Elephas maximus indicus: one gene and its partners. The protein of the gene in region 1 interacts with the protein of each later gene in a pairwise test. Links are inferred from orthologs where the notes say so. Each region holds a gene or a part of one and is shown in the gene's direction. Other genes may lie near its edges.

Region 1 (7,630 bases):
ATAGAGCACATAGAGGGCACAGTTACGGAAACTTCTTAGTCATATCCAAACACCTCGTGGGACTGAGATACTGGGCTTGAAGGCTAAGGACCATAGTCTTGGACATATCTAGGCCAATTGGCATAACATAGTTCTCAATGGTCTATATCCTAGTTTGGTGAGTAGTGTCTGGGGTCTTTTAACCTTGTGGACGGCCATCTAAGATACAACTCTTGGTCTCTTTCCATTTGGAGCAAAGGAGAGTGAAGAAACCAAAGACTCAAGGAAGCAGTTAGTTCACAGGACTAATGGCTCACATGAATGACAACCTCCTCTAGCCCGAGGACAGAAAAACTAGGTGCTACCACTACCAACCGCTCTGACCAGGGACACGATAGAAGGTCCCAGTTAAAGTGGGACAAAAATATAGAACAAAACTGAAATTCATAAAAAAGACCAGCCTCATCGGAGTGATAGAAACTGGAGGAACCACCAAGACTATTGCCCTAATACATCCTTTTAACCTGGAACTGAAGCCACTCCTGTAGGTCATCTTTCAACCAAATAATAATTGGCCAATAAAATAAACAATGACACCTGTGAAGAATGTGCTCCTTAGTACAATCAACTGTGGGAGAACAAATGGGCAACATTTGTGCAAAAGCAAAGATGAGAAGGCAAGGAGAGGCAGGGAAACTGGAGGGACAGAAACGAGCAAGGCAGGGTGGAAACGGGGAGAGTGCTGACACACTCCGGGGACAGCAACCAACATCATGGAACAACCTGCGTATGAATTGTTGAATGGGAAACTAATTTTGCTGTGTAAACTTTGACCTAAAACACAATAAAATGTTAAATAATAAGGAGTTTATGTTAAAAAAAAATTTAAATTGGCACTAATTTGAGCTAGATTGTTGTGAGTTAAAATGTTAATTTTAATCCCCAGGGCAGCCACTGAGAAAGATGGAGGGAATGATAAACTGTGTCAAATCTGGCTGATAGTTTAAGATGTGATCTGAGAATTGACTACTTGATTTGGCAATACTGAGGCTTGTGGTGTCCTTGAAGAGCAGTCGACTCATAGCGACCCTATAGGACAGAGTAGAACTGCCCCAGAGTTTCCAAGGAGCGCCTGGAGGATTCGAACCGCCAACCCTTTGGTTAGCAGCCATAGCACTTAACCACTATGCCACCAGGGTTTCCTTTGGGGAATTATGGGGGCAAAATTTGACTAGATTGGTTCAGGTAGAACCAGAGAAAGGGAAGTGGAAACAATGTAGGTCGTTCTTCCAGGAGTTTTGCGAAAAGGGGAGCAGAGAAATAGGAATGCGGGTGAAGAGCAAGAGATATTATGACAGGTCTGTATACCAAAGGGAATGGTTCGGCAGAGTGAGAGAAACTGGCAAGTGCCTCTTCTGTCTCTGTTACTAAGAAAGATGTATTATTGGAGCACCATGCTTCTCACCCCACTGTCCTAGGCACAGGTGCCTTTGCTTATTCGTATATATATGAACGTAGACATGTGCATTTTTTATTTTATGCCACTATGAAATATGCACAAAAATTTAATTTTTACAAGTTTAAGATAACATTTAAAAATGTCTTGTTAATTATGATGACATCACGTGATGGCTAGCTAATACTTCAAGGCAAAACAGCCTCTTAGGGTGAGGTATACGGTGAATGAAATCCATGTCTCAAATGTCTTCTTGCTAAGTTTGAATTTTCTGGCTGTCTTCTTGTCAATTCCAGTTAGAATGATCCCTGCTCTTACCTTATAGTGAAGCCGACAAAGAGCTAATACCAAGAAGAGTAGTAATGACTGTTATTTGTTGTTTTCCTGTTGTTCACCTCAATCATTAGTGCTATCGTACTCTCTTCTATCTGGTCTTTCAAGTATCTTTTTTAACTTTTTATTATGGAGACTTGCAAACATATATAAAAAGACAAAAGAATATAATGAACCTTGATATACCCATCACTGCCCTTCCATAATTACCAGCATGGCCCATTTGCTTCCCTCTAGCCCTGTTAATATTTTGAGGGAAATCCTATACATCATTTTAGTTCATGTGGAAATAATTCAGTGAGTTATCTCTAAAAACATAAAAAAAAAAAAAACATAGGGACTCAAAAACAAAAATTCATAACTATGATGCCATTATCGCACCTAAACAATAATTTTTAGGAATCTTTAATTCACAGCAATGGGGAAGTCTGTTTCCGGTCGGAAAAGAGAGAAATGTTGTTTTTAGTATAATAAAGCTGAGGTCATTATTTCACAAGGAATAAGGTCAAAATCATATTAACCTGACAGAGGCCTTCTTGACATAGACTAACTGGGGCGCATTTCACTAGCAAACTAGACAGATGGTCCTTGAAGTAAGCTACTGTTTGTGATGGTGGGTTGTTTGTCTTCAGGTGGTACAGGACTGAAGGTGGCCCTGGCATGGTGGAGCAGGGCTGATCTGACACGGGAAAGCAGCCACCTCGCTCCCCGCATCTGTGGAACCAGAGCACCACGTCCTCTACCCTCTTCCATCAGCAGGAAGCAGGATCTGATGAAAACCACTCTCACCCAAACGAAGCTGGACAGGAGTAGAGTTTGTAAGACACAGGAAGGGATGAATAGTGGATTCCGTTACGCCAAGGGCAGGGGTCGGTGGACCAGGCTGGGGTGGCTTGGAGGAATGAAAGGCAGTACAAAGGGACAGTTAATGTAGGAGGGAGCACTTGACCCTCTTTGAAGACTAACCCCAACTGCGTGGTAGGATGGAGTTAGCTGGCCTAATCAACGCAAGCACCTGTTGTTAGTCCTGGACTGTTTGCAATTACTTGAAACTTCAGTCAAAATAACTCCTTTATTCACCCTCAAAATTTCCTTTACAGTGTAGGGAAGACGGAGAAAGAAGAATTTGGACTGTGGTGGGGGGTAAAGGGGGAACAGCCAGCCCTGAGAATATCTGTGCAGAGGCGCACCCACCAGTACACAGGTACTCTGCAGAGAAGCCACAAAGTGCAGTCTCCATTTTCCATGGAAGACAGTCCCCCGCTCTTCACCTCCCAGAAGGAAGGGAGCCTGCCACAGAGCTCACAACTGTGTTCACCCACATCATGCACACACTTAGAAGTCTGTTCTTCAGGGAACAAAAAACTACTTGCTGTGGAGTTGACTCTGACTCCTGGCAGCCCCGTGTGTGTCAGAGAACTGTGCTCTGCAGAAGTTTCAAATGGCTGAACCAGTAGATCGCCAGGCCTTTCTTCTGAGGCGCCTCTGCATGGACTAGAACTTCTAACCTTTCAGTGTTAACCATTTGCAGTACCCAGGGACTCAGGTCAGACCACTGGGCAGCCAAACTCCAAGTGGTCAGTGAGGTACTCTTGAGGTTAAGTTCATGGTTAGAATTTATTACAATAAACACCACACACACCAAATTTTAGGCATCAACATAGAATGGTTAACTTTTAATTTTTTTAAGTACCAATATTAAAATAAACAAGCCATTGTTTCGTTAAAAAAAAAAATTAACACCAAGAAATAAAGTCTCAGAATAAAGGCCAATCGTTTACCTTTCGTTTTCTGAAAATTGACTAAATTTGTCTTATTTTTCTCTTTTCCACAAGAACCACTAATAACCTAGGTCAGGACTTCAGATCAGTGTTGGGGAAACACTTGAGTGGAAATCGTCAGACCTTGGCTCTAACCCCTCATTAAACAGAGGAGTGATTTGGCGCAATCTGTTTGCTCCGCGGTTAACTGGGTTCATACAAGAGAAAAATGCCCCTTCCAAAGCCACTCCTGACTGAATGGCCGACTTCTTCCACGTGTTGGCCTGTCCCCCGGTTTGTCAGACGAGACTCGTGGGCAAGAACGAACGACTCTCCGCCCTGCGCCCCGAGCCAGCAGCTGCACACCCCGCCAGCACCCCCGCCTCGGAGGGCCCCCGCCCGGCAGGCAGGGGCGGGAGGTTCCTGACGCCCAGGGCCCTGCAGCCTTCCTGTTTTGAGGATGGCGCCCACAGCAGAAGCTAACACGCACTGGCCGGAGGAAAAAGCTGAACACAAGGGGCAGGGGCGCACGCCGCCTTTCCCACTTCTCCAGGCGCTTTCTGCGCAAACTGGGCAAGGGGCCGTGGCTCCCTAAGGCGGAGCAAGGGGCAGCCTCCCCCGTCCTCCAGGAGGTACCCCTTCCGCGGCCGGCCGCAGGCCCGCCGGCTCTTCCAGGGCCTCCTCTCCCAGACCTGCTTGGAGTCTCGGCTTCTACAGCCCGGAGAGCAGGAGGGAGGGACGGACGAACGGCCCACCCCGCGGCCACTTACAGCACCTGGCCGCGGAGAAAGCCCGTTCTCCGGGCGCACGCGCACCGCGCCCCAGCACCACCGCAGGCACGCAGCCCGGGCGGTCCCAACAAGGGGAAAGGGCAGCTGGGAGGTGCCAGAGGGGAGAATGGGCGGAGACCGGCTCGCTAGAGATACCGCCCATTGGTTCCTCTCGCTCCGCCCCCGGTCCTGATTGGCCGCAGGCCTGGTGCACGGGCCGAGCACGCTTCCCGGAGCTGCGCGGCGTTCGGCCGGCGACAGCTGCGCAGCCAATGGGAGAGGCCGGCGGGGCGGGGGCTGGCCCGGCGCTGGGTCTACCCGGGCGCGGGCGAGTTGGTAAACAGATCCGGAGCGCGTGCTGGGCCTCAGCGCTGCGGTGAGCGCGCGGACGCTGCGCGAAGGTGACCGCGGATCCCAGGCTCCAGCAGCCAGGTAAGGCTGCTGCCCTTCGGCCTGTCGCGTGCCCGGGGCGCCGTCTGCCTGCGGCCAGAGCCGGGCTTAGCACACGCCTGGGCCCTTCTTGCATTCTCCCTAAGTGACATTGCGGCTTCACCTTGGCAAGTTTGAATTGCCTGGAGCTCTGGGGTGGGCGCGCTTCAGGATGCGGGGTGGGGGCTCTGTAGCTGTCGCCTACCTCCGCACCCACCTTCGCCCATCCGGACCAGCCTCGAGGAGGGGATGAGGCCCATGTGCCGAGCCATGGGTCCCCGGGACGCTCAAGGAAGCCCTGGTGACCGGCTGCTCCAAAGTCCGTGCCTCGTGGTCTCCAGTAGAGCGTTCCTGCTTCGTTTTCTCACGATAGGGTTCTCGTCACTCCCGGGCCCCCGTGCAATTTTCACCCGTGACTGAGGGGCTCTAACTGCGTCAGGGTGCAGGTTTGTGTCTGAACTTTGGTTCCCTTGGCCAGAGCCAGCTGTTGGGATTCACAGGTGGAGGTTTGGGGTCCTTTCTTTTGTTTGCTTTTTTCTTTGGTCCTTCCTGCTACTTCTCCAGACGTTAGAGGTCTTGTGAGTGCTTTGGGCTTAATCCCCTAAACTCGAGCCTGGGCCCCACTGGATGCATAGTGGCCACACAGCTCCCCTCTGCCAAACCCAGGCCGGTTTTCCCATGTGCTTGGGTTCCCCGGAGGGAACGGTGCAGGGGCAGGTCTGGGTGCTGAGACCCTCCATTTGGGTGAGAGATATAAACCTTCTGAAGGGTGAGGCTTGTGCAGCTTCCCAGCTTGGGTCGGGCCTGCAGCCCACTGGAAAACTTGTCCACGCACACTTGGGCCTTGGGTCTACGTGACAGAGGCCTGAGAACTGGGCATGCCAGGCCTACCTCCTTGCCAAAGGGTTTGAGCATGAATTAATGTCAGCCTGCCAGTTGTATGCCATGGATGGGTGGGTCATTCTCGCAAGAGGGCTGTTGGGAGACTGTCTCTGTTGGAGGAAGACTCTCCTGAAAAAAGACAAAAGGGGAGCTGGTGGCTCATAGGAGCAGCATCTTCAAGACTCAAGCAATGGCTTTGGGCGGTTTTGTTGAGCCTTGTGAATAACGTAGACAATGCAAAGTTGCTCTAAGTGTTGCCCTGGCCTCAGGTGACTCGAAGAAAAAGTGAACCTGGTGGTTTCTGCACCTCTACACCTCCCTCAGAGCTGGAATGTCATGTGAGACAGGGCTTCTTAACCATGGGAGTACTGACGTTTTGGACCGAATAATTCTCTGTTGTGGAGGGCTGGCCTGTGTGTTGGAAGATGTGTGTAGTAGCATCCCTGGCATCTACCCACTAGATGCCTGTAGCACCTCCCCTCCAGGTGTGACAATCAAAAATGTCTCCAAACATTGCCCACTGTTCCTTATAGGGGTTGACAGCTACTGATCTAAGACTCCAAAAAGCGTCTCTCTGTGTTGCCAGGGCCTTTTGGGGACCTGTAGTTGGGTAGTGTTGTGTCCCCTGCCCCAGACCACTGGTAGACATCATGTAGATTGACCCCACCTGCCAGTGGAGAGCTAGGAGGCTGGGTTCCATGGGCATTTACCTAGCAGTGATTGGCTGCATGGGGAGTGTAAAAGAAGTAGGAGACTGGTGGCATTTGCCTTTGGGGACCTTGGAAAACTTTGGGGAGTGTTCATATGAAACAACTATTGGAACAGCTTTTGAATAGTAAGCAGACAAGTTTAAGCTATCTAAATGCTGGCAGAAAGGTTTTATCCAGAGGTGGGTTTTCCATGGTAACGCTTTACTCACCCTCACTTTTTGCTCAGACAGCTCTGTGTCTTGTGATTTGGGATGGAGTCAGACCTGTGTATGCAGGAAGTGAGTGTCTGGCTGCGTTTCACATGTACGTGTGTGTATGTACATGTACCACCTGCTTCTTCCTTTAGAGAGGCTTCCTGGGAAGGTCATGGTGCACTATGACATGTTGGGGCCTTGATGGTGCAGTGCTTAAGAGCTTGGCTGTTAACCAAGAGGCTGACAGTTCGAATCCACCAGCTGCTCCTTGGAAACCCTATGGGGCGGTTCTACTCTGTTCTATAGGGTCGCTCTGAGTTGAGATTGGCTTGACGTCAATGGGTTTGGTTTGGTTTTCTTTTATAGTCGATCGAAGCAGTGGTGTCATAAAGATAGTGTGCCGTTTCTTTTTGTTTAGAGAAAGATGCTTTACTTCTAAGTCCAGATTTTGCCTGGAATTTATGCCTCAACTGTCTGAGTCCCAAACTGATGCAGATACAGAAAAATGAAAAACAGTGATTATTGTGTAAGGCCTGCGCAAGGAAAAATCCTAAGCCCCTACCATAAATTTCCTTTTCTGGTTGTCAACTCATGCTCTGGGGATGTATCAGGGTTTTCCTGTATCATTCCTTGGTCAGTTGCAGGGTCTTTGGGATGCCCTTTGTTGCTTGTAGAAAAGATTCAGGACAGGGGGGTCACTTCTCAAAGAGAAGTTTAAAAAAGTCTATTATTGGGAAGCTCCAAACTTGGCAGGATAATTTTCCATTAAGAGCCGTGGGCATTGAGTCATTATCTTTGTCAGTTGAAACTGGAGCTGTGTGCAAAATTAGACAGGAATATTTGGTTAGAGAGTTGTCTTGATTTGACAGTGGTATCTGGATATAGTTCTGGCATTCCTGTTAACAGCCAGAAACTCGGGAGAGCCAGTGGGAAGGAGAGGTGGTGGGAGCATGGGGGCTGCCTAGGTCACCCTGCTCTTTCTGGAATTGCACCAGTGGGAGGGCTGGAGTCTGATGACCCTGTGGTGGGGCCAGGACACTGAGTGAGATACCTGGAGAGGGGCTTGTCCAGGTACCTTGGGAAACCCCAGTGGGTGTCCATTGGTCTGTCCGCAAGC
Region 2 (7,228 bases), on another chromosome or scaffold:
TAAAGATGCATTGCTAACTGGCGATTGGAAAGTGAAAGTTAGAAACAAAGAAGAAGGATCAGTAGTTGGAAAATATGGCCTTGGTGATAGAAATGATGCCAGAGATCACGTGATAGAACTTTGCAAGACCAAACGACTTCTTCTTTACAAACCTTTTCACAACAACATAAATGGCAACAGTAGACGTGGACCTCACCAGATGGGATTTACAGGAATCAAATTGACTACATCTGTGGAAAGAGACTATGGAAAAAATCAATATCATCAGTCAGAACAAGGCCGGGGCCAACTGCAGAACAGACCATCAATTGCTTATATGCAATTCAAGTTGAAGCTGAAGAAAATTAGAACAAGTCCACTAGAGCCAAAGTATGACCCTGAGTATATCCCACCTCAATTTAGAGACCATCTCTAGAATAGATTTGAAGGGTTGAACACTAATGACCAAAGGCTGGACAAGTTGTAGAATGACATCAAGGACATCATACATGAAGAAAACAAGAGGTCAATAAAAACACAGGAAAGAAAGAAAAGACCAAAACGGATGTCGGAAGAGACTCTGAAATTTGCTCTTGAATGTAGAGTAGTTAAAGGGAATGGAAGAAATGATGAAGTAAAAGAGCTGAACAGATTTCAAAGGGCAGCTCGAGAAGACAAAGTAAAGTATTATGATGACATGTGCAAAGACCTAGAGTTAGAAAATCAAAAGAGGAGAACACACTCGGTATTTCTCAAGCTGGAAGAACTGAAGAAAAAATTCAAACCTCAAGTTGCAGTAGTAATGGATTTTATGGACAAAATATTGAATGATGCAGGAAGTTTCAAAAGAAGATGGAGGGAAAACAGTCACTGTACCAAAAAGAATTGGTCGACGTTCAATCATTTCAGGAGGTAGCATATGATCAAGTACCAAAGGAAGAAGTCCAAGCTGCACTGAAGGCGCTGGTGAAAAACAAGGCTCCAGGAATTGACAGAATACCAGTGGAGATGTTTCAACCAACAGATGCAGCGCTGGAAGTGCTCACTTGTCTATGCCAAGAAATTTGAAAGAGAGCTTACCTGGCCAACTGACTGAAAGAGATCTATATTTATGCCTATTCCAAAGAAAGGTGATTCAACCGAATGTGGAAATTATCGAACAATATCATTTATATCACACACAAGTAAATTTTTGCTGAGGATCATTCAAAAGTGGTTACAGCAGTATATCTACAGGGAACTGCCAGAAATTCAAGCTGGATTCAGAAGAGGACAAAAAACCAGGAACACTACTGCCGATATCAGATGGATCCTGGCTGAAAGCAGAGAATACCAGAAAGATGTTTACCTGTGTTTTTTTTGATTATGCAAAGGTATTCGACTGTGTGGATCATAACAAGTCATGGATAACATTGCCAAGAATGGGAGTTTCAGAACACTTAATTGTGCTCATGAGGAACTAGATCAAGAGGTAGTCATTGGAACAGAACGGAGAGAGACCACATGGTTTAAAGTCAGGAAAGGTGCGTATCAGGGTTGTGTCCTTTCACCTCGCATATTCAATCTGTATGCTGAGCAAATAATCCAAGAAGCTGGCCTATATGAAGAAGAACGGGGCATAAGGACTGGAGTAAGACTCATTAACAACTTCCATTATACAGATGACACAACCTTGCTTACTGAAAGTTAAGAGGACTTGAAGCACTTACTGATGAAGATCAAAGACCACAGCATTCAATATGGATTACATCTCAACATAAAACCAAAAAATCCAAACCCACTGCCATTGAGTCGATTCCTGACTCATATCAACCCTATTGGACAGAGAAGAACTGCCCCATAGAGTTTCCAAGGAGTGCCTGGCAGATTCGAACTGCCGATCTCTTGGTTAGAAGCTGTAGTACTTAACCACTACACCACCAGGGTTTCCCCTCAACATAAAGGAAACAAAGATCCTCACACCTGGACCAATAAGCAGCAGCACGATAAACGGAGAATAAACTGAAGTTGTCAAGGATTTCATTTTACTTGGATCCACAATCAACATCCATGGAAGCAGCAGTCAAGAAATCAAAAGACACATTGCACTGGGCAAATCTGCAGCAAAAGACCTCTTCCAAGTGTTAAAAAGCAAAGATGTCACTTTGAGGACTAAGGTGTGCCTGACCCAAGCCATGGTGTTTTCAATTGTCTTGCATGCATGTGAAAGCTCGACAGTGAATAAGGAAGACCAAAGAAGAATTGACACCTTTGAGTTATGGTGTTGGCAAAGAATGCTGAATATACCATGGACTGCCAAAAGAACGAACAAATCTGTATTGGAAGAAGTACAGCCAGAATGCTCCTTAGAAGGGAGGGTGGTGAGACTTCATCTCACATACTTTGGACGTGAAGGACCAGTTCCTAGAGAAGGACACCGTGCTTGGTGAAGTAGAGGGTCAGTGAAAAAGAGGAAGTCTCTCAACAAGATGGATTGACACAGTGGCTGCAACGATGGGCCCAAGCATAATAACGATCATGAGGTTGGCACAGGACCGGGCAATGTTTCGTTCTGTTGTACATAGGGCCGCTATGAGTCGGAACTGACTTGATGGCACCTAACAACAATTATGACCCATTTCCACTCTTGCCTCTCAAGTCACTGAACTGAGACATGCTGGAACTTCTGCAGCCACCACTCATTTACAGACTATCAGTGGGGACAGATTTCTTTTCTAGGTGACCGATCCCGTCATTAAACAAACAAACAAAAAACCCATTGCCATTGAGCCAATTCCAACTCATAATGACCCTATAGGACAGAGTAGAACTGCCCCATAGTGTTTTCAAGGCTGCAATCTTTATGGAGGCAGACTGCCACATCTTTTCCCCGGGAGTGCCTGGTGGTTTCCAACTGCTGATCTTTCAGTTAGCAGCAGAGTGCTTAACTGCTGCACCACCAGGGCCCCTTGATCCCTTCATTGCATGTTGATTTTCCTTAATATTCTCAGAAGGTAACCTTAGCCTCCAGTTTAGGGGGTTACTATGTTGTACCCCTCCTACACTCACATCCTCTATTCCATTTCTGGGACCCTTTCTCCAGAACACCTCCCGCACACTGTAGTGCTTAGAACACATGAACTGCCCCCTCCTGCCCCTACCCCATTTAGCAGGTCATGTGGGAGCTCAGCCCCAGAAAGCCTTAGGCTGCTTCCTGGCAGAGTTTCTTTGTCTTCCAGAGCTGTAGCCCTGGCAAATCCCCCCAAGAGCCCACAGGCATCACCCACTCTCAGGGGAGAGACATGGGGACAGAGAATTTGCATGACTTGCCCCTGGACACACAGTTCTGGGAACTCACAGGAAGACAGTAGCCCTCCCTTTTCTCCCCTGGCCTAGTGCCCATGCAGTAATGGGGTAAGAATGTCTTCCCGAGAACTCAGATCCCCAAGAGAGGTCCCTGGGGCAAAGGGTTAGCAAGGCAAGGAGGGTGAGTTTTAGTTCTCAGAAATCACTGATTTCTGGCCAAGAGCCACCTAGGCTTTCCCAGCTGCTTATGAGGCCAGAACTAGGCAGCAGCCTCCTCCCTCTCCCAGGGCTCCGCCTGGCAGCAGGTCACAATGGCCCAGCTTCCCAGTCTCCGAATTGCTGGCCAGGTGGGAGGAGGTAAGGAGGGTTCAGTGGGTGGGTGTGGGGGGAGGGGGAGGTTCATGCCCAATTAAAGCCCAATTTCCCACTCTCGGAGCTCATCTTTGAGAGTCTGCTAGGGCCCCACCCCTGCCCACACCCCCACCCCTGACATTCCCTCCCAGCACTAACCCTTCCTGTCACCACATCCCTCCATGACCGGGCTCTGCTTATCCGGGCCCCAAGCCCTGGCAGGTCCGATTCCAGTCTCTCCCAGGCACCTGGATGCTGGAAAGGGGTCAGGCAGTCCAGTGGGTCCAAGTGTGTTCCTCTGGGGCCCTAGCCTGGCCCACCTCCTGGACAGTGCCCTAGGGCTGGTGGCCCTGGGGCTGGCAATTCGAGCAGTCCTTTTCACAGCTGTACCAGCGCTGCTGCTGCTGCTGCTACTGGTCAATTTCCTTGCCTTTGATCTGCTCCACGGGTAAGTGGCCAGGCGGCCTGGCAGGTGGGGAGACATGTAGGCAGGTGGACAAGTGGTCAACCTTTCTGAGCCCTGCTGCCTCCCTCTTTCTTCACAGGCCCACAGCTCCCACCCTGCTGCAGCACAGGCCTCTGGCAGGGGGCCCGAGTCAGGGAGCCGGTGAAGGTCCAGGACAGCAGGGGGCTCTGCTTCTGACACCGGTCGCAGTCATAAGACAAGTCAGTCTCCAAGATGCGCTTCTACTGCTGCTTTTGGGCCTGGGTCTGCTCCTGGGGGCCCAGGGCATGCCCCTGGCCCTGCTTGGCCTGGCTTTCTGCCTCCACCCTTGGGTCTGAACGCTTTCCCAAAACACTGCGTGCCCTCCCAAAATACACTGGCTATCCTGCTTCCTCGGGCCTCCTTTCCTTCATCTTGGGCTGGGCAGGAGGGAGGTGCCCCTTATCCCGAGCCTGAACCTCCAGGAAGCCCTGGCCCCACAATGTGGGCAGTGGACATCTAGGTCTGATCTGGGGGCCCAGCTGGGGAGAGAAGGTGAGGGATAGTATGATGAGAGACAGGGAGCCCGGGGCAGGAGGTGGCACTGATCTCAGCCTGCAGGTTGGAGGTGGGCATATCGCCCCCTCTGTGGTTCAAGAGAATGACAGTCTAGAGAGAAAGACCTGCAAGAAAGTGGGTGTGGGGCTGAATATCAGGCAGCAGGGAAGGGTCGGGGACCCAGGAAGGGCTTCCTCACAAGAAAGTATTAGACACTGCAGCCAAGGGCTCATTTGGCTCCCCTGCCTGCCTGGAGGGTCCACAGTGGCTCCTCTCTTGGCTGGACCCCACCCCGGACCCGGGTCACAATAGGGCTCCTCTGGGGAGGGTGGGGGTGGGCAAGACTGGGGCCTCGGATCTAGCTACTGGGCTGTCCTGGGCACTGCAGGAAGCAACATGACTTAGGTGGCTCTGCCCAGAGGTAAGTCCCGGGCCCCAGCTCACTGCCCTATCCCAACCACATTGGTGCCTTCCTGAGCCCCATGCCCCTACCTACCTGAGGTAGCAAGCCTCTGCAGGGCTGCTCCTGCAACTGGCCCGGCCCTCTCCCCAGGTGCACCAGCCATGATGCAGCAGCCGCGAGTGGACACAGATGCCATCGGGGCCGGTGAGGGGCTGCAGCCTGTGGCGCCCTGGTCGGCCTGGGTCTCGCGGCAGGGTTGGGCGCGCTGGTGGGCATGCCATGTGCCTCGGAGCTGGGCCCAGTGGTGGGCCACATCCAGCTGGCGGCAACCACTGCAACGTGTGCTATGGGGCCTTGAGGGGATGCTTTACCTGCTGCTGGCGCTGATGCTGTGCCACGCTCTCTTCACCACTGGCTCCCACCTGCTAAGCTCCCTGTGGCCTGTTGTGGCTGCAGCGTGGCGCCACCTGCTGCCTGCCATCCTGCTGCTGGTGCTCAGTGCCCTCCCCGCCATGCTCTTCACCGCCTCCTTCCTGCTGCTTTTCTCCACACTGCTGAGCCTTGTGGGTCTCCTTGCTTCCATGTCTCACACTGGCCACACTCAGGACTTGGACCAATAGAAGGCAACCCCATCCCGCTGCCTGTGTCTGTTGAGCCCAGGCCTAGGGCCTGAGGCCTGGGGAGAGGGAGGGCAGTGGGACCAGGACCTTATAGCCTCAGCAGGCCCCAGCACCCCAGATGCTAGCATGGGGCCGAAACTTGTGTAGTGTTTCTGGAGCTGACAGGACAGACTGGCCTGATCTCTAGTGCCTGCCTCAAGTTGATGCCTCAGGTACCTGGTGTGGGGAGACAGTGACTTTGAGAGGAGGGGATAGGGCAGAAGGCTTAAGCGGGGGCAGAGCTTGGCCAAGCCATTGAGGGTTCCCATGTGGATGTGGTGACACTACTGGGTGCCCCTTGGCAACTGGCAGCATTTTCTTGCAACTGCTCAGCTTTCTCAGCCTCAGACCTCACCTAGAACTTCCACCTGGCTACCCCTGGACTCTCCATTTTCTCCCACCAATGCTTCTTCCCACTTTCAGAGGTGCCACAGATCAGGAGAGAGCCTCACTGATAGAAGTCTAGTGGGAGAGGAACTGGCAGAAACCCCCCTGAGACCTCAACTCACCTTCTAGACCTTTCCACCCAGGCATCCCCTGTTTCCTAGACTTCCTTTTCTCCTGTTTCAGTCTACATCCCCAGGTCTGGGAAATGAGCCAACTAGGGTAGTGAGGTTCCCAGAGAGTAGCTACTCACTTGTTAAGACTCTCCAGGCCTGTTGTGGAAAAACAAATAAGTCCCATTTTACGCATCTACACAATGTGTAACCTTGGCCAATTAATTTCCTTGAGTCTCAGTGTTAAATGGGTCCCAACCCTATCATGGGGTTGTTGTGAGTCAAAGGCAATGCCTATCTGTGAAGTGCTTTGTGAAGACCAGAAAACTGTAAGATATTGTTTTGAACACTAAGAACATTCTGTAGCCTCAAAGAGTCTTTTGGGCCTGAAGGCCCTTGAAAAGCAGGTAGCTTCCCTGGGCTTTCAGAGGAATGCTCTGTTATAGATAGAATTTTGGCTCTAAGATGGTAAATGGATGGGTGTGGACAAGATACGAAAAGGCCACGTGCCATGAAATCTCAAAAGTGTGCAGATGCAAGACTCTTCTGACGGTGAAATGCTTGGGGCTGGGACTTGGTGCCAAGAGATGCTTATACAGCTGTGTGAATAGGGAAAGCTAGCTCATGGGTTCCCAAAACTGATCCAGGAAAGTTCTAAACCAAGAGGGCCTTGGAAGGTGCCATTCCTTGGTGCCCTGGATCCTGGCCATTCACTTATCATCTAACCCCTCCAAACAAAACATTGAGTGATTAGTTATTACCAAGTAAGATATATGACAGACAACCTTACCCACAGCTGAGACCCACCCACCTGACCCCCATCCCACTCCTAACTCCCACCCAATCTTTGACCCTGAAATGATTCCCAACCTCTGTCCACCCCCAATCCATTCTCCTTCTCAGCCCCAGCCCAGTCCTGACCCCCACCTTATATCTAACCTTAAAATCCCTGCTCCTGCAGCCCTAAGCCCAAAGTCCCCCTCTCCTGCTCCCTAAATACTTAAGCCCTGAGGAATAATCCCTCCAACCCTATCGAATACCTGGTTTCATCTTTGCCAAAACCCATTTGCTG
Region 3 (7,038 bases), on another chromosome or scaffold:
CTTTAAGGAAGCACACTGCCACATCTTTCTCCTGCAGAGCAGCTGGTGGGTTCAAATCACTGACCTTTTGGTTAGCAGTCAAGCATTTAACCACTGTGCCACCAGGGCTCCTAAATAAATACCTACTACTATCCTAATTTTAGGTTTGGAAAAACTGAGGTGGTGGGAGGTTAAAAAAACTGTCCAAAGTCACTCAGTTAGGTAAGAAGCAAAGTTGGAACTTGAACTTGATTATAGAATCGGCTCCATGGCTTTAACTGAAAACCTATCTACATGTCATCTGAAGATGGAAAATAAATAAAATACCTGCCAAAAAGACTGAAAACGCCACCCCTCCCCCGCCAGGCCACCTGCACCAGAACGGTTTGTCATCTGACTTTACTCTCTGTTACATAATTCCCAAGAGGGGATGCAGACAGGCCTCAAGTCCCTCAATCCCTCCGCCCCCATCCATAGGGATGCTAGATAAAATACAGGATGCCCAGTTAAATGTGAATTTCAGGTAAACAACAAAGAATTTTTTTAGTATAAGTATGTCACATTCAACATTTGGGATACACTTATATTTTTTTATACTAAGTGATTCATCATTTACCCGAAATTCAAATTTAAATGTATGTCCTGTATTTTTACCTACTAAATCTGGCAACATGGAGAGGAGCATTCAGCTAGGTTCCAGGTTGTCCCAGTCTCTGTGGCTCCCAGTCTCTGTGGCATTAACATTTTAGGCTCTCAGTCTGTTGCTGGGAAATTTTCACACATTTCTTATTCAGAGCCCAGTACTCCTGGCAGATTTTTCTGAAGCCTGAAATAGTTGATTAGTTAAAGCAAGTGTTATGGGTTGAATTGTGCCCCCTAAAAGTATGTGTTGCAAATCCTAATCCTGATTTCTGTGGTTATAATCCAATTTAAGAATGGGTTTTCTTTGTTATGTTAATGAGGCAGTATTAGTGTACAAAACAAAAAAACAAACCCACTGCCGTCGAGTCGATTCCGACTCATAGTGACCCTATAGGACAGAGTAGGACTGCACCATAGAGTTTTCAAGGAGAGCCTGGCGGATTTGAACTGCCAACCTCTTGGTTAGCAGCTGTAGCACTTAACCACTATGCTACCAGGGTTTCCAGTATTAGTGTAGGATATGTCTTAATTAAGTCTTCTTCCGAGATATAAAAAGAGCAGATTGAGCAAGCGGAGATGGGGGAAGATAGACGCCAAGCCACATGGAAATCTCCGAGGGACAGAAGCTCAAAAGAGACAAAGATTCTCCTCTAGAGCTGACAGAAATGCTTCCCCCCGAGGTGGTGTCCTGAATTTGGACTTCTAGCCTCCTAAACTGTGAGAAAATAGAATTTGTTTGTTAAAGTCATCCACTTGTTATAGCAGCACTAGAGAACTAAGACAGCAAGTAACTGTGGAAAGGTATTGGAAAAGCTGCACATGGATTTATTTCATTGACCTGTGAAATGTTCACTGAGAGTCCAGTCCTGGTGCTACGGAGAGATGCCAAGATCCAGGCCATCAGGGGATACAGGGCGTGGTGGAGCAGCAGATATGTATACAATGCAAGAAGCAAAACGAGGCAGGAGAGAGGCCCTATAAAAATACCATAGAGGTGGGAAGAATTTTTTTTCACAGAAGAGCCCCTAGATGGCATCCTTGAACAAAAATCCCAGTGGAAGCCCCAACTCAGCTTTTCAAAGCAATGTGCACCAAGGAACCATAGTGGCAGTGTTTTGTTCTAAGGAAAAAAATAAACCCTTTCCTGGGAGGGGCACCAATCATACTGCAGCTGAACAAAGTGCATGAAGCCAGACAGGATTGTCTGAAACTTACGAGTTTAGGGATACTTGTCTGTCCCTATCCTCGTATCTTCCCTTTTATCTCTGCTGTTGTGGAGGTGCTGCAGCCGGATCCCTTAGCTAATTACCATCATCATCATCATCCCCAAGCTTATTTCCCTATCCACTGCCCTTATAGAAATTTCAGGTGGCAAAAGTAATAATACCACCAAATACATTTTGTGCCCTACTGTATGCCAGATAGGTGCTAAACTCTAATTTACAGCCATTATTATGCCAGTCCTCACTACAGCTCGGTGACGCTTTCTCTCTTTGTAGAAAGAATTCTTTTCTAGGTTGCTATTGTTCTAGGGTAAAAATATCACAAAGTTTAGTAAAACAAAAAGAAAGGTTTTATTCATCATATATTCAAAGAGGCAAAAGTGGGAAACAGACAAGCATGCTGCTAGAACCATGTCTGCCTGAGTCCAAGGAATATTACAGAACAGACAAGAGTGGGAAAACAAACAAGCATGCTGCCACAGTCATGTCTGTCCCAGTCCAAGGAACGTTACAGATTCATCAGTATATATGAACATTACAAATGCGCAAAACCATTGAAAACTTCGCCTTTTCACCGATTGGCTAAAACCTGTTCGGTCACTGTGATCCTGTATTTTGAATTGTCTTTCTTAACTATCACTGGTACAGGTTTCAGTAACGATGGTCAGGGGGGTCTTTATCAGTCCAACAAATTTTACTAGTCACTAAACGCTAATAAAAAAGACGTAAGAGTGGAAAGTATGTGGGTCTTTTGTGCTGTTTTTATGAGTGCTTTATGTGAAAGGATCCCTAAAAGATGTTTTCCACGGTTGTCCTTTATACCTCAGGGCCCAGCTGATGTGTCCCTGTGAGACTTTGTGAGTCCAGCTCCAGCTGGGTCACATTCTAGGACGGGGAATAATGGCTCTGATATTATCTCCTAAATCACTATCAACAGGGGCCACAGAGAAAAGGTAGGTCCGAAAGGGCCCTGGATGGGAAGTGCCAGAGGACTAGACAGTAGGAGACCAAGGCTCAGGTCTGTCAGTCTGTCACTCTCCCTGTTACGCAGATGAGGAAGTCACAGTAAGAGTCGGGGCCCAGAGCCCAGGACTTTTGGACTCCTGCCAATGTCCCCTGTGGCCAGTATGCCCTATGGTAGTGTTGTCAACTCTGGGAAACGGTGTTCCCAGGGGACATTTGGCTATATCTGGGGACACTTTTGGCTGTCATGACTTGGGGGGTTGTATTGGCATCTAGTGTATAAACAAAAAAAACCCACTGCCATCAAGTCCATTACAACCCCATTGGACAGAGGAGAGCTGCCCCATAGGGTTTCCAAGGCTGTAATGTTTATGGAAGTAGATTGCCACATCTTTTTCCCTCAGAGCGGACAGTGGGTTCCACTGGCCGACCTTTTGGTTAGCGATTGAGTGCTTAACCACTGCACCACCAGAGCTCCTCATCTAGTGGGTAAAGTCGGGAATTCTGCTAAACATCCTACAACGTACTTGGCAACTTCCAACACACAACACAGAATTACCCTGCCGGAAACATCAACAGTGCCGAGGTTAAGAAACGCTGCTCTTTGGGCAGGATTTGGAGTCAAGAACGTAGGCTCCCTCTGGCTCTGACTCGTATCCTTGCTAATTGAGGGATTTGGGTTTAGTTACTGTCTCCCAGGCCCTTGACTTTTTCATATGTACAATCTCTAAGGATCTCACTGGCTCACTCCATTTGCATTCGAGGAGTTAAAACCTTTGTCAGGGTCATACCTCACCACGTGAGTTCTGAGCTCCAGAGATGCTTCCAGAAGAGTTGATTCTGGGCATTTAGGTAGGGAAAGCCCTAAGACTGTGTGAAAACCCATTCTTAGCTGTCAGTCCACCTGTCTCAGAGGCGGCCCGAGCATTCTCGCTCCAAGCCTGGGGACTCTCTCTGAGCCTCAGTTTCCTCATCTGCAAACCTCTCCCTTTGGTCCCGGTGGCTCCATGGCCCTTTGCCAAAGCTGGGCGCGGCCGCTTGGCGCCTCTGGCCCAATGCTTCCCGCCCCGCGGGCAAGGCGGAAGGGAGCGCAGCCTTGGGGCGGAGCCGGCGGCCGAGGGGCGGGAAAGGCGGCGACGCGAAGAGGACGCACTTTCCGCGCCCGCCCGTGCATTCGTGCGTCGACTCTCCCTCCCTTCGCTCCGCCTGCCGAAGGGGTGCGCGTGGGCTGGGGACGGCGGAGCCTCGGACAAGGTGAGAGCGCGAAGCTTGGGGGCGGGGAGTACAGGGTGCCCCGGCTGGCTGTACCACTGGCGGGCGGAGGAGATGGAGGAGCCCGAGAGCCGGGGCTGGAGAGGGCGGCCGAGTCCCCCACGCCCTTAGCTCTGTATCCGCTGTCTAGTAAAAAAAAATTAAGGGGTTTCTTCTCACCTGAGTCACTGGGACCGGAGACTGGGCCCAGTCGCCCACCCCCTCCCTGGCCACACCCACAGCCCCTACAGCTAGGTTTGGTAGAAGAGTTGCCAGCCCTACCCGACCCTCGAGACCCTGGGAAACCTAGGTGGGGAAACGTCCGGTCTCCAAATCCCCCTCCCCAGAATTAGTCAAAATGGCTGTCCTTCCTCCCATCCTGTCCTTGTTCTCTAACGAGAACCTCCCCTTCCCCTGTCACTGCAGAGCAGAGGAGCTCCAAGCACCAAAGATGGATTCTTCTTCCCAAATTACTCCGACTCCCCCCTGAGCCCCTCTTTCTCAATCTCCACTGCCCTCCACCTGCATCGCACTCCCTTCCTCTTGGATGACAAGAAATGGGACCTCCCCTCCCCGCCCTGGGAAGCTGAGAGACTGAAACCAGATGGGGACCCATGGAACGTTGCAGGTAGCCGTTTGCCCCGAGAGGTAGGAGAGGCAGGATGCTTTATTTGGAGGCTTAGAAGGAGTGGCCAAGGCGGCCAGTGTTGAAGTGGTTCAGCCCGGGAGGTGCAGAGGAGGCGGGGCAGCTCTCGGCTACTCAGGGGTTAACGTTTTCCTGCCTCCGGATACTTCTCTGCCTGGGGAGGTTCCTCTGAGGGGTGAGTAATTGAGGGGCTGGAATTGGCGGCTGGGCGGGGGATTTGACGGCAGTGGCTGGTGGCTTTCCTCCGAGGCTTACCCCTATCGGACTCCCCAAACCGGTCTGGGTGGCTCTTGGGTTTCCCAGGCCCCAAGAGACTTGTACGGGAAGCTGGGCTTGTTTCTACCCGCTGTAGAGATGACATGAGGGGAGCCCAGCGCTGGAACATCCCCAGTCCAAGATCTGTGCCAGCTGCAGCTCCAAAGACAAAATACGAGGGTGGGAGGTTAGTCCTCCGTTCTGGAGGGTTTCCTGTTTTACAAAAGGGATTGTAGCAGGGGTCCCTTAGCCGAGGTGATTAAAATGTGCTTACTTTTGCATATGAGATCCTTGTAGAAATTTTTTTCCTGAAACTCACATAGTCAGCATATGGAATATTCAGCATATAAGTAAATGTGGGCATGTGTCACAGTGCATTTTGGCTGCTGTGACCTAATCGGTTAGGCGTGTGCAGAGTCACTGATGGCAAGTGGTTTTATTATAGACCAGGAGGTCAGTTGTAAGGAACAAACAGTAAAGGCTGTAAGACTGGGGCCAGCCTTATTGTTGTTGCTCTGGAAAAAAATAAAATCAATAAGGATGATATATTTGTTTAGATGAACATCCAACAAGAGTTTAAAAAAAAATAGCTTAACAAATTGCTTTTTATTAAAAAATAAGTAAAATGATGTGAGGTTGGAACAGTTCTGGAAATTCCAGGCTGTTGCCCATAGAGTATCACCGTGGTGAGGGCTGCTTGGGGAAGAGGCTTACGCATATGAGTAAATAGAGAATGGTTTATGGCACTGTGCAATTGGGAAGCAACCTGCACAGTACCAAAAACAAACCCCTTGCCATCGAGTTGATTCCAACACATAGCGACCCTATAGGACAGAGTAGAACTGCCCCATACAGTTTCCAAGGAGTGCCTGGTAGATTTGAACTGCCGACCTTTTTGTTAGAAGCCGTAGCTCTTAACCATTGTGTCAACCAGGGTTAAAGGAGGGAAATCAGCCAAGGTCACAGTTGTTTGGGAAAGTCTTTGTACAGGGGGAAAAACAAGCAATGGGACTTGAGATAGTATATTCAGCTTCCTCGCTTTTTTCTATGTGCTTTTCAGCATTTTGTCAGAATAAACATAAGCACTCAGAGAAAATACTGTTAACATCTTGTTGTATGCACTTCTAGATTGTTTCTATCCCGAGTTCATAGGAATAGCAATATATACCTAAAAATATATTTGTATGTGTAACAAAATGTACGATTTTGCAATCTGATTTCTTTCCATTATCATGGCCATCTTCTCATACCCTATATAAATATCTACATTATCCTTTTACCGACTGTACAATATTCCATTGTATGACTTTATTCTGATTTAGTTAACCAATTTCCTACTAATGGACAGTGAGTTAGCTTCTTTCCAGTGTTTTCATATTTATTATGTAGGTTCCAATGCACAGCTGTTTGGTATATTTTCATATACCTGTTTGATTATTTCCTTCAGCTTCCTGGAAAATGAATTGCTGAATCAGAGGGTATGTAATTCGAAATTGTGACAGATACTGCCAAGTTACCCTCCACCTACACATCCACCAACAGGAATGTGTGAGGATAGTAGAAACTCTTACTGAACTAATTACATGCGGACCATTAACGATTTAAGAATCTTCTTTTGTTTCCTCCGTGACAGCAAGAGAGAGAGCGACATGTGACATTTGACTACCCTGCACTCACTGGTAGAAGAGTCAGTCCCCAAGGAGACTAAAGTGAGTTTCACCATGGCGAAAGAGGAGCTCCCAAGTATCTCAAAGGACTTGCAGGAGCTGCAGAAGAAGCTGTCTTTGCTGATAGAATCCTTCCAGACTAACGTAAAGGTCAGTTTCCAATCACCATGTGTAATGGAAAATCCCAAAATAACATTAGCATAAACAAGATAGAAAGTTATTTCTCAAGTAGAAGAAATTTAGAGGGAGGTCGGGAATCTTTCTAGCTCACTACCCTGTCATGTCTAAACTCTGACCCTCAACCTCATTGTCCAAGATGGCTGCTAGAGCATCAGCCATTACATCCATGTTCCAGGTAGTTGGATGGAGGAGAAGGGGAAAGGAGACTTAACCACCCACCTCCAATTTAAGG

The links.
Region 2: the proteins of COQ8A (region 1) and TMEM239 interact in binary tests that used the Homo sapiens proteins (3 or more experiments, as listed by UniProt). The two-hybrid records come from large-scale screens. The link is inferred for Elephas maximus indicus from reciprocal best matches to the Homo sapiens genes COQ8A and TMEM239.
Region 3: the proteins of COQ8A (region 1) and LDAF1 interact in binary tests that used the Homo sapiens proteins (3 or more experiments, as listed by UniProt). The two-hybrid records come from large-scale screens. The link is inferred for Elephas maximus indicus from reciprocal best matches to the Homo sapiens genes COQ8A and LDAF1.

The regions. Positions count from the first base shown.
Region 1 is NC_064842.1:16,659,615-16,667,244, forward strand, and holds the start of COQ8A (atypical kinase COQ8A, mitochondrial), read left to right. Parts: upstream 1-4,603; 5' UTR 4,604-4,730; intron 4,731-7,630. UniProt on the Homo sapiens protein: Atypical kinase involved in the biosynthesis of coenzyme Q, also named ubiquinone, an essential lipid-soluble electron transporter for aerobic cellular respiration.
Region 2 is NC_064843.1:41,403,235-41,410,462, forward strand, and holds the start of TMEM239 (transmembrane protein 239), read left to right. Parts: upstream 1-5,150; 5' UTR 5,151-5,161; coding exon 5,162-5,620; 3' UTR 5,621-7,228. Other genes in the region: C25H20orf141 (uncharacterized protein C20orf141 homolog), read left to right, coding at 3,798-4,063, 4,161-4,398.
Region 3 is NC_064830.1:81,014,217-81,021,254, forward strand, and holds the start of LDAF1 (lipid droplet assembly factor 1), read left to right. Parts: upstream 1-3,937; 5' UTR 3,938-4,061; intron 4,062-4,484; 5' UTR 4,485-4,686; exon of another isoform or gene 4,687-4,706; intron 4,707-4,712; exon of another isoform or gene 4,713-4,879; intron 4,880-6,592; 5' UTR 6,593-6,680; coding exon 6,681-6,776; intron 6,777-7,038. UniProt on the Homo sapiens protein: Plays an important role in the formation of lipid droplets (LD) which are storage organelles at the center of lipid and energy homeostasis. In association with BSCL2/seipin, defines the sites of LD formation in the endoplasmic reticulum.